3 linked regions of the Arabidopsis thaliana genome follow. The protein of the gene in region 2 purifies or fractionates together with the protein of the main gene of each other region. This does not show direct contact. Each region holds a gene or a part of one and is shown on either strand. Other genes may lie near its edges.

What was found.
Region 1: the proteins of AT2G42270 (region 2) and PKL fractionate together in Arabidopsis thaliana (co-fractionation; one large-scale study listed by BioGRID). This does not show direct contact.
Region 3: the proteins of AT2G42270 (region 2) and AT3G49830 fractionate together in Arabidopsis thaliana (co-fractionation; one large-scale study listed by BioGRID). This does not show direct contact.

What each region holds. Positions count from the first base shown.
Region 1 is NC_003071.7:10,711,966-10,715,720, reverse strand, and holds the start of PKL (chromatin remodeling factor CHD3 (PICKLE)), read right to left. Parts: upstream 1,657-3,755; coding exon 1,582-1,656; intron 1,314-1,581; coding exon 1,170-1,313; intron 1,076-1,169; coding exon 938-1,075; intron 848-937; coding exon 693-847; intron 591-692; coding exon 429-590; intron 161-428; coding exon 1-160. Other genes in the region: AT2G25169 (uncharacterized protein), read left to right, coding at 1,707-1,790, 2,263-2,378, 2,743-2,807, 3,006-3,115. UniProt on the Arabidopsis thaliana protein: Chromatin remodeling factor that represses the expression of embryonic trait genes (such as NFYB9/LEC1) upon and after seed germination and thus enables the developmental switch to post-germinative growth. Silences some MADS-box proteins such as PHE1 and PHE2.
Region 2 is NC_003071.7:17,602,422-17,606,176, reverse strand, and holds the start of AT2G42270 (U5 small nuclear ribonucleoprotein helicase), read right to left. Parts: upstream 1,848-3,755; coding exon 1-1,847. Other genes in the region: UVI4 (uv-b-insensitive 4), read left to right, coding at 2,894-3,283, 3,548-3,755. UniProt on the Arabidopsis thaliana protein: RNA helicase that plays an essential role in pre-mRNA splicing as component of the U5 snRNP and U4/U6-U5 tri-snRNP complexes. Involved in spliceosome assembly, activation and disassembly.
Region 3 is NC_003074.8:18,480,188-18,483,942, reverse strand, and holds the start of AT3G49830 (P-loop containing nucleoside triphosphate hydrolases superfamily protein), read right to left. Parts: upstream 1,695-3,755; 5' UTR 1,561-1,694; coding exon 809-1,560; intron 673-808; coding exon 3-672; 3' UTR 1-2. Other genes in the region: AT3G49820 (uncharacterized protein), read right to left, coding at 2,221-2,706.

The sequences.
Region 1 (3,755 bases), 6.9 Mb from region 2:
ATGGTCAACATCTTTACTTCTGCGAGTTCTAGAATTTACATCCTTGAACCTTTGAATTTCATTCTGGAAGGTTGAGATGTCTGATTCTGACTCCCAATAACATTCATCATAGGATAGCTCTTTATATTTGACAAGATATTCCAGCTCCCCATCTTCCTCTCTATATCATAAAAGAAACCAATGCAACTGTCACAATTCCTGATTTACGAAACAACTAAGAAAATGGTAACTTAAAAAGAAGAAAAAAAAGGTAAGCAGGTCATTTATCATGTTTCAGAGACCCAAAATCGTGATAACAGTAAATTTAGGTTAAGCAGCACTCTATCAAAGATACGTGTTTATTAGAGAATGGATTATGCTGAAAACAAGGATATTAAAAAAAAAGTTGGCAGATAGATAAATAAAGGAATTAATTCCATTCTCTAGACCTGCAGGCAAGAATCCGATCAACAGTGGTCCACTCAGGACGTATGGCAACAAAATCATCTTCGCTGTTATTGAATGACTCCATTTGACGGTGAAAATTGTTCACTCTGGTTTTTAAACGATGATTTGACTTATAAGCCTTCTGGAACTCCTTCTCAGGCACCCTATGATTAGTAAAAGGAAATAAATCACATATTATAGTGTTCACAGAAAGAAACATTGATAATTAGCGTGTCCAGACAGCAAAAAAGACACGCAGTAACTACCAAGAGCAGTGAAGGTATGATAATCCCTTCCACTTCACGAGATACTGTTTCACAAAAATTGGCTTCGGTTCCGCATCGGAGGAACCTTGTTCACTAGATTTTGTAGGACGCATTTCACAATCCAATATCTTATCTATCTCGTTAAGAGGACTAACCTGCAAATGTAAACAACAATTCTTCCATGTAAGAAAAATGGAACCTGTAGCATCCCAAAACATAATTGTGGACCGTAACTAAAATCTTACACATTCAGGGCATCTCCAATTTTCCACGGAAGCATCTTTAAGAGGTGGAACTAAGCATTTAGCATGGAACGCATAAGTGCATGTATTGCAGCTTACAAGATTAGTACTTTCCCCACAAGCCTGACATGCATTTTCTTTCTACAAATTCAGAGTAACAACACAAAAAAAAGGATTAAAATAGAACACATAAAACAGTAAAAGCTGAACAATAAGCTCGAGAGGAGAAACAAACCGCATCAGTTCTGACAATAGCCTCGACTTGCTCAAAGGTTCGATCTTTTTTAGGAACGAAGTCGTCATCATCAGAATCATCTAGGTTATAAACTGGTTTCCTATCAGATCGTATGCGAAGCCTCTCCACCAAACTACTCATTTTCTGCACACAAAACATATCTCCCATCAATAACAACAAACTTACATAAACAACACATATAACAATAGACTCAGTGCTAGTTCTGAGACTTAAGCAAACTATGAAATTAGAGTTTCACACAATTGAACTCTACTACCTAAACAAACATCACAGTGAAATTTTTTGTTCCCAATCTAAAACCTTTACAACTATATCAAGAGATAGTTCGTACAATAGCTACTAAACAACTCGATTCATCAAACTCTATACCACATGAGCAAGATCGACTAACCTTGTGAAAGAGAACGAGAGAGAAATTGGAAAAAACCCTAGCCAAAATTACCCATAAGAATAAACAATTGAGCATCGAAATGTGAGTACCCAGAAGTCGAATTAACAATCTCTTACCGCAATATCATGAAAAGATCAAAACTTTACAAAACCCAAACAGTTTCAAACTCAGTTTGTAACGAAAATTTGAAAGAAAGGAAGAGAAAAATAGTAACTTGAGAAGTAATTTGAGAAGTCGAAAGCGATATTACTAGTCGAAGATAGAGTAAAAAGTGAAGCAGAGAAGAGTGTGGAAGAGAAGGAGAAGACGAACCTTTGAAATGGTTGGGATCTGTTTTTGCAGAAGAAGAAAGTAATCCGAAACGAACGAAACTTGAAAATTCAGACAACACAAATGATTTCTAACATTTAGCTTACCAATTTTAACTTATGGTTATTATTAACTTTAATACACTTCTTAAGGTATAAAATATCACCTCTAATTAAATTACCTTCTCAATATCATTATTTTTTCACACACAAAAAACTTACTTTTTTGTTTGAAAAAATTATAATTACTTCTAACTTATAAAAATAAGTGTCAAAAATAATGACAATTACTTTTCACTTACCCAATATTGTTATTATATAAACTTAGATATTTTTAAATATTTAAGTTTATTTACCTTTTCCCCTCAAAGAGGCTAGAGGAAGATTTAACATGCTTTGCTTGGTTTCGCTATTTATCATGGAGCTGAAATCTCTTGACGTGGGTTCACTCCTTGTTGGTGCTAATTATGGAGAAGATTTTGAGACAAGGTTTAAAACAATATTGAAGGAAGTATATGCTTCGAATGGGCAAACAATCTTGTTCATTGATGAGATTCACATTGTTATTGGTGCAGGTGCTCTTTCTTTTTTTGATTCAGATTATACATTAATAGATGACCTTTTTATTTATACACAATACTTGTATGCATTTTTTTACTCTGACCAAGTAAAACGTTTTGTATAAATGGTTTTGATGGGTGGTAACTCTATAAAAATGATTTTTCATCTCATTAGAAGAATACTGCATCGAACAATTATTGAGGATTAACACTGGAGATGAACAATTATGTCTACTAAGTATTTCTTGTATAATCTTGTGTCTCTATACTAATGAGTTATTACTCTTGTGTAGGAGCTACTTGTGGAGGCGTGGAGCAATAGAAGCGAGCAACTTCTTGAAACCGTTGCTTAGACCAGGTGAGCTGAGATGCATTGGTGCAACTATGTTTGTTATATCCACCTTAACTTATTTAGCTTAAACTTAACCAACCAAACCCACTAACACTTGTGGGGCTATAATTCACTTACGGCCCAATGGCCTTATTACAAAACACAAATCCAACTCCGTTCTTATGTTGGATTTGTGTCGTTGACTCTTCTTCCTCCTTTGGTCAGTGGTCACGACAACTTCTTATTCTCTTCTTCCTCCTTTGGTCACGACATCTTCTTCTTCTCTTCTTCCAAGCTTGGCTTCTTCTCTTTTCTTCATCTTCTTCTTCTCATGAAGCTTTCTTCTTCTTGTAGGATTTAATCTAGGATTCAATCTCCAACGACATTGACCAAAAATATATAGAGAGATATCCAACGCTAAAACGTAGGTTTCAGCAAGTGTTATGTAGTCAACCAACTGTCAAGAACTAATTGCGTAGCCCTTACAATATGTAATAACAATTGTAGCTTAAATTACATGCTTTGTTTTCAGATTTTAACTATTAAATTTTTGGTATATTTCTTTGAAATTTTTTGGATAGTTCACAAACACATTACCATATTTAAATCTGAATTATTATGTGACATCAATATATAGTATAACAAATGATGATGAACTATAATTTAATCGTATGGATACTAGCATAAAGCTTATAAAATGCGTGCTCCGGTGTTATTACACGTGGTCCAAGTTCGACTATAGAATACAATACAAAGGACACAAAATCTTCATGTACAATCAAAAATTATCAACCCCATATCTTATAGTTGGAAACGATCCAAAATAGGTTATATAAATAAAATATATAAAATATGTCAAGTATAACGGTCTCACATCACCCTTTTGGCTTTTGGGGAAATATCGGATTTATAGAAAAAAAAAAATAATAATAATAATTAAGACAATAAAATATTTGGTCTGAATCTTTTTTGAGA
Region 2 (3,755 bases):
TCTGGCGTTGTAACAATTATCTGAGTCTCTTTGATTTCTTGCCCAGTAAGGGACTGATCCCCACTGAGTTCCTTCACAGTAACTCCAAAATCCTTCAAACGTTGAGATAGACTATCCACGACCTCAGCAACAAGGGCTTTCATTGGTGCAACATAGACAATTTTGTAATTACCATGATTAAACGTTCCACCAGGGTTCATATTCAATCCAAGCTGGTGCAGTATGGTGAGCACGGCAACATTGGTCTTCCCAGCACCAGTTGGAGCACAAAGAAGAATGTTGTCAGCCTTAAAAAGAGCAGTGCCGTACACTTTGCTCTGAACCCTATTCAACTGCTGCATTCCCCTAAAAGCTGGTTGGGCCCACTCTGGCAAATCGCTAATTTTCACAAGCTTTTCATTACTATCAAACTTTTTAGAAACCCACGGCACATGAACCTCATCAAATTCCTTGCCACGTATTCTGAAAGAGCGATCAGGAAGCTCACACTTGTTATTCTCCCTCGTGAAACCACCTTGGTTAAAAGCAAGGCTCTCCAGGTCCATCACCTGACGCTGGCCCTTCAACCAACCATTCTCCAAATCTAAATCATCAACATCTCTCATGCCTCTGTCTCCGTCAACACCAGAATCATCATCCATAAGATGTTGAGCTTCTTCTTTGATATCTTTCTCCCGTTTCTCCTCCCTTTCTTTGGCTGTTGCTCTTTTGGCATGCAACTCCTTAACAATTGCTGCCAACTCTGAACCTAACCCCAACATCTCCTCCTCAATTTGATTCCTCTCTTCCTGGTCTCTTCCCCTAGCCAAACGGGTGCACCACACAACTTTAAGACGGTTTTGCAACAGAAATTTAACAAGGCTGAACTTTTCAAACTGAAGGTGCTCAAGCAGCTTGATCTCAACATCCCTATCATTACCCTCAGCAAGTATCTTAAGCAGCTCTTCTGCGAGTTCCTGGCACTCTTGTGCATCAATCTTCTGCTCATATTCTTGAGATATCTTTCTCTGAAGCCAATAAGCATCAATATCCAGAACATTAAGACTCGTATCCTCCTTTGCCTGTCTTGCATCCTCGCCGTTTATTGCCACACCCACCTGGACAACTCCAGTTTTGTTAAGCTCAACAACATCTTCATCCTCCTCATCTTTTTCATCCTGGACCATATCAAGATCACTCTCATCATCATCCTCTTCACATTCAAGGGCAACACCAATATCATAATCAAGTCCTCCATCCTCACTAGCTTTACCACTTAAAGAATCACCACCCTCTTCATAGTCTGTAATCAGTTTTCCAATCGAAACAAACTGACTGAAAACCTGATCAGTAATAACGTTTAGTAGTTTCTCAATCTCTACCTTCTTTTCATGGTTTTTGACGGATTCATTCTTAAGAACTGCCAAAATCTCATCAGCCGCACCGCAAACAATGTCCAAAGGCTGCCCACCCAATTGCTGCTGGATAAGACCAAGCATAATCTCAAAAGCAACCCTTGTTTCCTTAGTCTTCGGCTGATAAACACCATCCTCCGTATCATTAAGTACACTCACCTCCCTAAGACGAACTCTTTTGCTCTCACGAGCAGACACCAAATCATCACAACGTTCCTTCTTCTTCTTAGATTTATTAAGCCGCTCATCTAACTCATGAGGCCTTCCCCTAACGACACGATCTCCAAAGGATTTCGGATCAATCCTACCCCTGAGACTCTCCGGTTCACCAGAAGATTCATGCGTATCACGACGACGCTCATCACTGTTAAGAACAAGACTGGAATTGACTTTGTACCCATACTGCTTCAACCTGGCTTGCTCCTCCGCACCACCACCACCCAAATTCGTCATCACCAAATCGGAAAAACAAACCCCAAATTCCAAGAATTAAATCAATGAAACAAAACAAAATTCGGAACGAAAAACTCTTCTATTACCTCTCTCCCGTTCTCCGTAATCGTCGTCTTAAGAATTTGATCGAGTCGATGAGTTTTTTTTTTTTTTCGTTCAACAGTCTTATATATACACCCTAAACAAGTCTTAAACCGACAATACATTGTCGGCCACAAATTCCAAACCCACGAAGGCCTGTCCGGAAGCCGACTAAAATTATGGAATTGTCCGGTTCAATCCGTTTTAACTATAATTAGAAGAAAACATTAATTAGAGTTGGTTCTTGATGAGTGTTTTCGTATAATCAGAGCAAGTTATCGTATCATTAGACCGTACCAACTAGCCAATCCGGTTTTCTGGTATTAGTAAAAAGCAGCGGTTGGATCCTATGACAATTAACGGTGAGGATTCGATCTTGAAAGCAATGCGTACGTAAATAGAATTGGGCCACAAGCCCAGTTTTATTCAGAAGGGCAAAATTGAAATCTGACAAAGAATTTGACGAATTGTGACAATGTGCGCTTTGAAAAAAAACGAAATTTATCCCGCGTGAGATGAAAAATTCAAAATATTTCACACAGGTGAAACCACTTTGACACGTGCGAGCTCGAAATTTTTCATTTTCAATTACAAAACCCGCCTAGAAAATGGTCTAAATTTTGTTTGCCAGATCGTCTCTCTCTCAAAAGCTTTTCTCTCTTTTTCTCCTTTGTCCCCTCCACTTTACCGTTCACGAAGCCATTCCGAGCTATCACGAAGGAATCTATTGAAGATTCATAGGTAAATCCATGGTTTGATTTGTTCAAGTAGGTTCTTTGTGATGTGACGGAGATTTGTTGCGAAAACGAAGAGTTGATCTCTTTTTCTTGTTGTTTATGAGGTTTCGAGAAAATCTGATTAACAATGGAGAACAAGACTGAGTTCTTGGGTTTTAATGTTGCGATTTCGATTTTGGGTGTGTTCTAATGGCATAGTTGTTTGATTTCTTCAGCGCTCAATCACAAATGCCAGAAGCACGAGATCGAATAGAGAGGCAAGTTGATTACCCAGCCGCATTTCTCAATAGACGCTCGCATGGTATTTTACTTGACGAACCAGCAACACAGCACAATTTGTTTGGGTCTCCGGTTCAGAGAGTGCCATCGGAAGCTACAGGAGGACTTGGGTCAATTGGTCAAGGATCTATGACGGGAAGAGGTGGGCTTGTGAGGGGTAATTTCGGTATTCGGCGGACTGGTGGTGGTAGAAGAGGTCAAATTCAATTTAGATCGCCACAGGGACGAGAGAACATGAGCTTGGGTGTTACAAGGCGTGGAAGGGCTCGTGCTTCAAATTCTGTCTTACCTTCTTGGTATCCAAGAACGCCCCTCCGTGATATTTCTGCCGTTGTTAGGGTTAGTTCACTAAACCTAGTCTCATTTTGGATTTGTCTGCTTATTCTTAGATTTAACTGGAGTTTTTTTCATTGATATATAGCTAATTTGTGATCTGTTTATATCTGGTTTGTGATTTGCATATTGGTTCAGAATCTGCTGCTTATAAGCTAGATTAGTCTTCTGTAACAGGCTTGCTTAGCCTCTTTGTTAACTATATCATAAGTCATAACCTGTTACCAAAAGGCTTGCTTAGTCTGGCTATTTACAAACTCTTATATGCAGGCTATTGAGAGAAGGAGAGCTCGTATGGGAGAAGGTGTTGGCCGAGATATTGAGACCCCAACTCCACAACAACTTGGGGTTCTTGATTCTCTAGTACCGTTGTCAGGTGCTCATCTCGAGCACGACTATTCTATGGTTACTCCCGGTCCATCTATTGGATTCAAGCGTCCTTGGCCACCCTCAACTGCTAAAGTCCATCAGATTTTGC
Region 3 (3,755 bases), on a different chromosome or scaffold from region 2:
TCTCAAACTTCCATGGCCTCGTGTTCTGTTTCTTCTCCTGCAGTAGCCTCCTGTGTGTTTTTTATAGGCACGCTAAACAAGTACTCGCTCTCATGCTCAACCAAGTACTGCATCGATCTCTTGGTGTCTAAAAACAATCTATAAACTCTCTCAATGTCCTGAATCTCTACGACTTTCCCTTTACGTTTCAGGCAAGCTAGGGCAGCTGCATTGATTAGATGAATCGCGTACCTAAGCGAGGTATTACATCCGATCAAAGTCAGAAGCTGTTTCGCTTCCTCGTTCATCTCCACATCCTCTTCTTGGCAACGGATCTCTAAAATATTTCTGATCTCGTCTTGTGTGTAAGGCTGTGTTGTGATAATAAGAAGACGGTCAAGAAAATCGATTGGGATCCCATGTGCTGATATCTGGTTTGTTCCTCGGATTGTTGTCATTCCTCTGTTTGTAGCCACGACCAGGATTGGTGACATATCGTTTTCGAGAGCTCTATTCAGGAAAGAGAAGCATTCGATATCAAGCATATGGACTTCATCAATGAAGAGAACACCAGGTACTATTTCAGCTTTCCCTTCTTCTCTCCACTCTGCCACTTTAGTATCGCTTTGCTCTCGGGTTTCTGAACGAATCTCGCCTGTATCACCTGTGAAGAGGGCTAGATACCCTTGAGTCCTGCAAACAACAGAAAGAAAACAAGAATCCAAATAAGAACTTGAAAAAGCATCAATACGTGAAAAAGAAGCAATCTTTTTAACCTAAACCTAAAACTAAGCAATTGACAAATACAGAACAAGATCAAGAAACAAACCTGCTATTAATAACATCAATCTCATGAAGTGTGACAGAATGCAAAACCTCCTTCCTCTTCTCAAGCTCACCTTCAGGGCACTGCACAAACTTAGTCTTTGAACCCATAACATCAAAATCTCTAGACCTCGTAAAAGATCTTCCAAGCTTAGTAATCTTCCCACAAAACCTATCCAAAACAATAACATCACCACTCTGTACTTTCTCCTTATCCAATGGCTCAATCAATTTCCATCCCAAATCAAAATTAGATTCCATATCAGTCGTCTTCATTGTTATCTTCCCAGTCTTCTTCACAGAACCACCAGAAGAAGCAGGTCTATCAATCGAAATCGTCACAACTTCTCCTTCTATCACGTCAGTCTCTTCTTTGATCCTAACACCAATAGCTTTACGAAAAGCTTGAGTTAAAGCTTCAGTCTTTGACATCTCTAAAGAAAAGATCTCACTTCCTGCAATCATAGTGAATGGTGTTTCTTGTCCAAGTGATTTTGCTATACCCATTGCTATTGCGATTTTACCCGTTCCGGGTTGACCCGCTATAAGTATAGCCCGACCCGAGATTTTGCCGTCTCTGATCAACTCGAGGGTTACTCCGGCGGCTTTACGTGCTTTGATTTGACCAACCATTCCTTCGGATACGGCTCGTGGCTCGAGTACTGAGTCGAGACCTAAACCTCGTATGTGTGAGTGTGCTCCGATTCTTTCGATCCTAGTTAAGTCTCGAGTTTCTGATAACCTTAGTTCTGCCATCGTCGGTTGTTGAGTTCACCCGAGGAATGAGACTTGGCTTTTACTAGGTTTAGACTTTGGAGAATCAATCACCAGAGTCTTTCTTCTTCGTAAAGGTTTAGCTTTATTTATATTAAAAAATTACAAGATTTTGTTTGATATATATTCTTGTTAATTTACTTATGAGGAAGTTTACATTTATATATATATATATATATATATATATATAAATAAAAAGATAGTTTTTTTGTTTTGTTTTGGAATCTGTAAAGATATTGCAGACAAAAATAAAATTGAGAAACTTTTTTTCTTACAGCAAAAATAGTAATTGATAAACTTTCTAAATTATTATTTTTTGTGCTTGTGGTTTTGAATTTGTATTTTATGTTTGTAATTTTGTGAAGTTATTGTGGTTAAAAGAAATTAATTTTTGTTGTAATTTGTTTTTAGAAATTACTCATGATATTAAAATCATGTAGAACTGCATTGGTTGTTAACAAAACAATGTGAATTATTTGCATCACCACTTTTAGAATCGTATGTAATTTTTTTTAACATCAATTATAAGTAATACAAGAAATAATATTAAATGATACAAAATGATTTTTCTTTTCAAGTGTTTGATCCATATTTCTCAATAAGCACAATGCAACAACCTAATAATAAACCTAAAAATCAAAATCAAAATCGTCCTAGAGGCTTATGTTTTTGGTCAACAGATGGTTTTTCTATTTCTTTTGTAAGAATCTCGCAATTACCATAATCAAGAAAAGAGTCTTCTTCTTGAAACTCATCATCATCATCACAAGACATCTCCTCATCTATTCTTCCCATCACAACAACGCATCTATTGTTCTTCCGATGATCCAAGGACAATGATTGTCTCATTGCAATCGTAGGTTGTCCGCCACGTGTCAGACAGCCTTGATCATGTGCCGCCGACGTCAAGGTAAAGCTTCGAGGAAGGGCGGTGCTAGGCGGATCGCAGATTTGGAAGTTTCCGGAGAGTTGACCAAAACCAGATGATCCACCACCGGAATAAATTCCGGCGCCGGAGCATGACGTAATGCTTCGTATGTAGGCGTCACGTGCCATGATCAACAGACGAAAAGGAGCCTTAACCAACCATACGAAGCAGTTCTCTTTCTCTATGACTTTCGCTTTCATTATTGGATTCTCAAGAGTATCGAAATCAAAGTTGTATATATGTAAATATATAACCTTTTAAATATATTATAAGAGACGAAGAAGAAGAAATGCTCAAAGATTTCAAGACACTAAGACAGGATCAAAGAGAAGACAAATCCATGATGACTGTTGTAAATGATAATAACAAAATTATGAATGTGATCTATTCTTAAATGTACCTAGTTGGATGATTAAATACATTTCTTTCAGTTAGATGTTTAAATTTATTAAGGTGTTGTTGCCTTGTTGGCAAATCAGTCTTAACTTATTTCATATAATATGGACACCAATTTAAATCTGGATATTTGAGATGGGTTAGTTAGTAGTTAAAAGGGTATAATGGCTTGGTTCAACTACTTTCTTCAAAGCATGACGCTTGGTATGATAGTTCGGCCCATATATTAAATTTGATCCAATGTATAGACCCAATAGATTAGCACTCTTGTTTGCATCACTACATTACTCTAACCCACTATCGAATACTACAAAACTTTAACTGATTATTGAATCCTATCGTTTGGGATTAATTTGGTTCCAAAGAAATTCATGTGAGGAGATCACAAATAAATTGTTATCGAGATTTGGCCATTACTCTAACTTATCTAGAGCGACAAATATAATTTATAACTGGAGGTACACTATTTAGATCCTAGATTGTAGGTTTCGAAAATCTTGGGCGTTACAAGCAAAAACTCTTGGTATCATTGAATCCATACGTCATATAGTGTATAATTTATTTACAAATATATAGGTGCCTCATGCATGTGTCTGATATGTACATACTACTATAGACATAGATTTAGGGGGTAGAGCGTCACGACTCACGTGACAGTCCAAAGCTAAAATGGCTAGAAAATCAAACATATAGAATACGCGTAGGAATGCGGTATATACCTTTTTTATTCCTTCGTGCTTCTACTTTTGCATTTATTAAAAGATTGTTTCACACTTCTTTAACGTTAAAATAAATGAGCTAAAGCCTAAAATACTAAAGATAAACATATGCGTAGGCAATGCATTATAGTGTA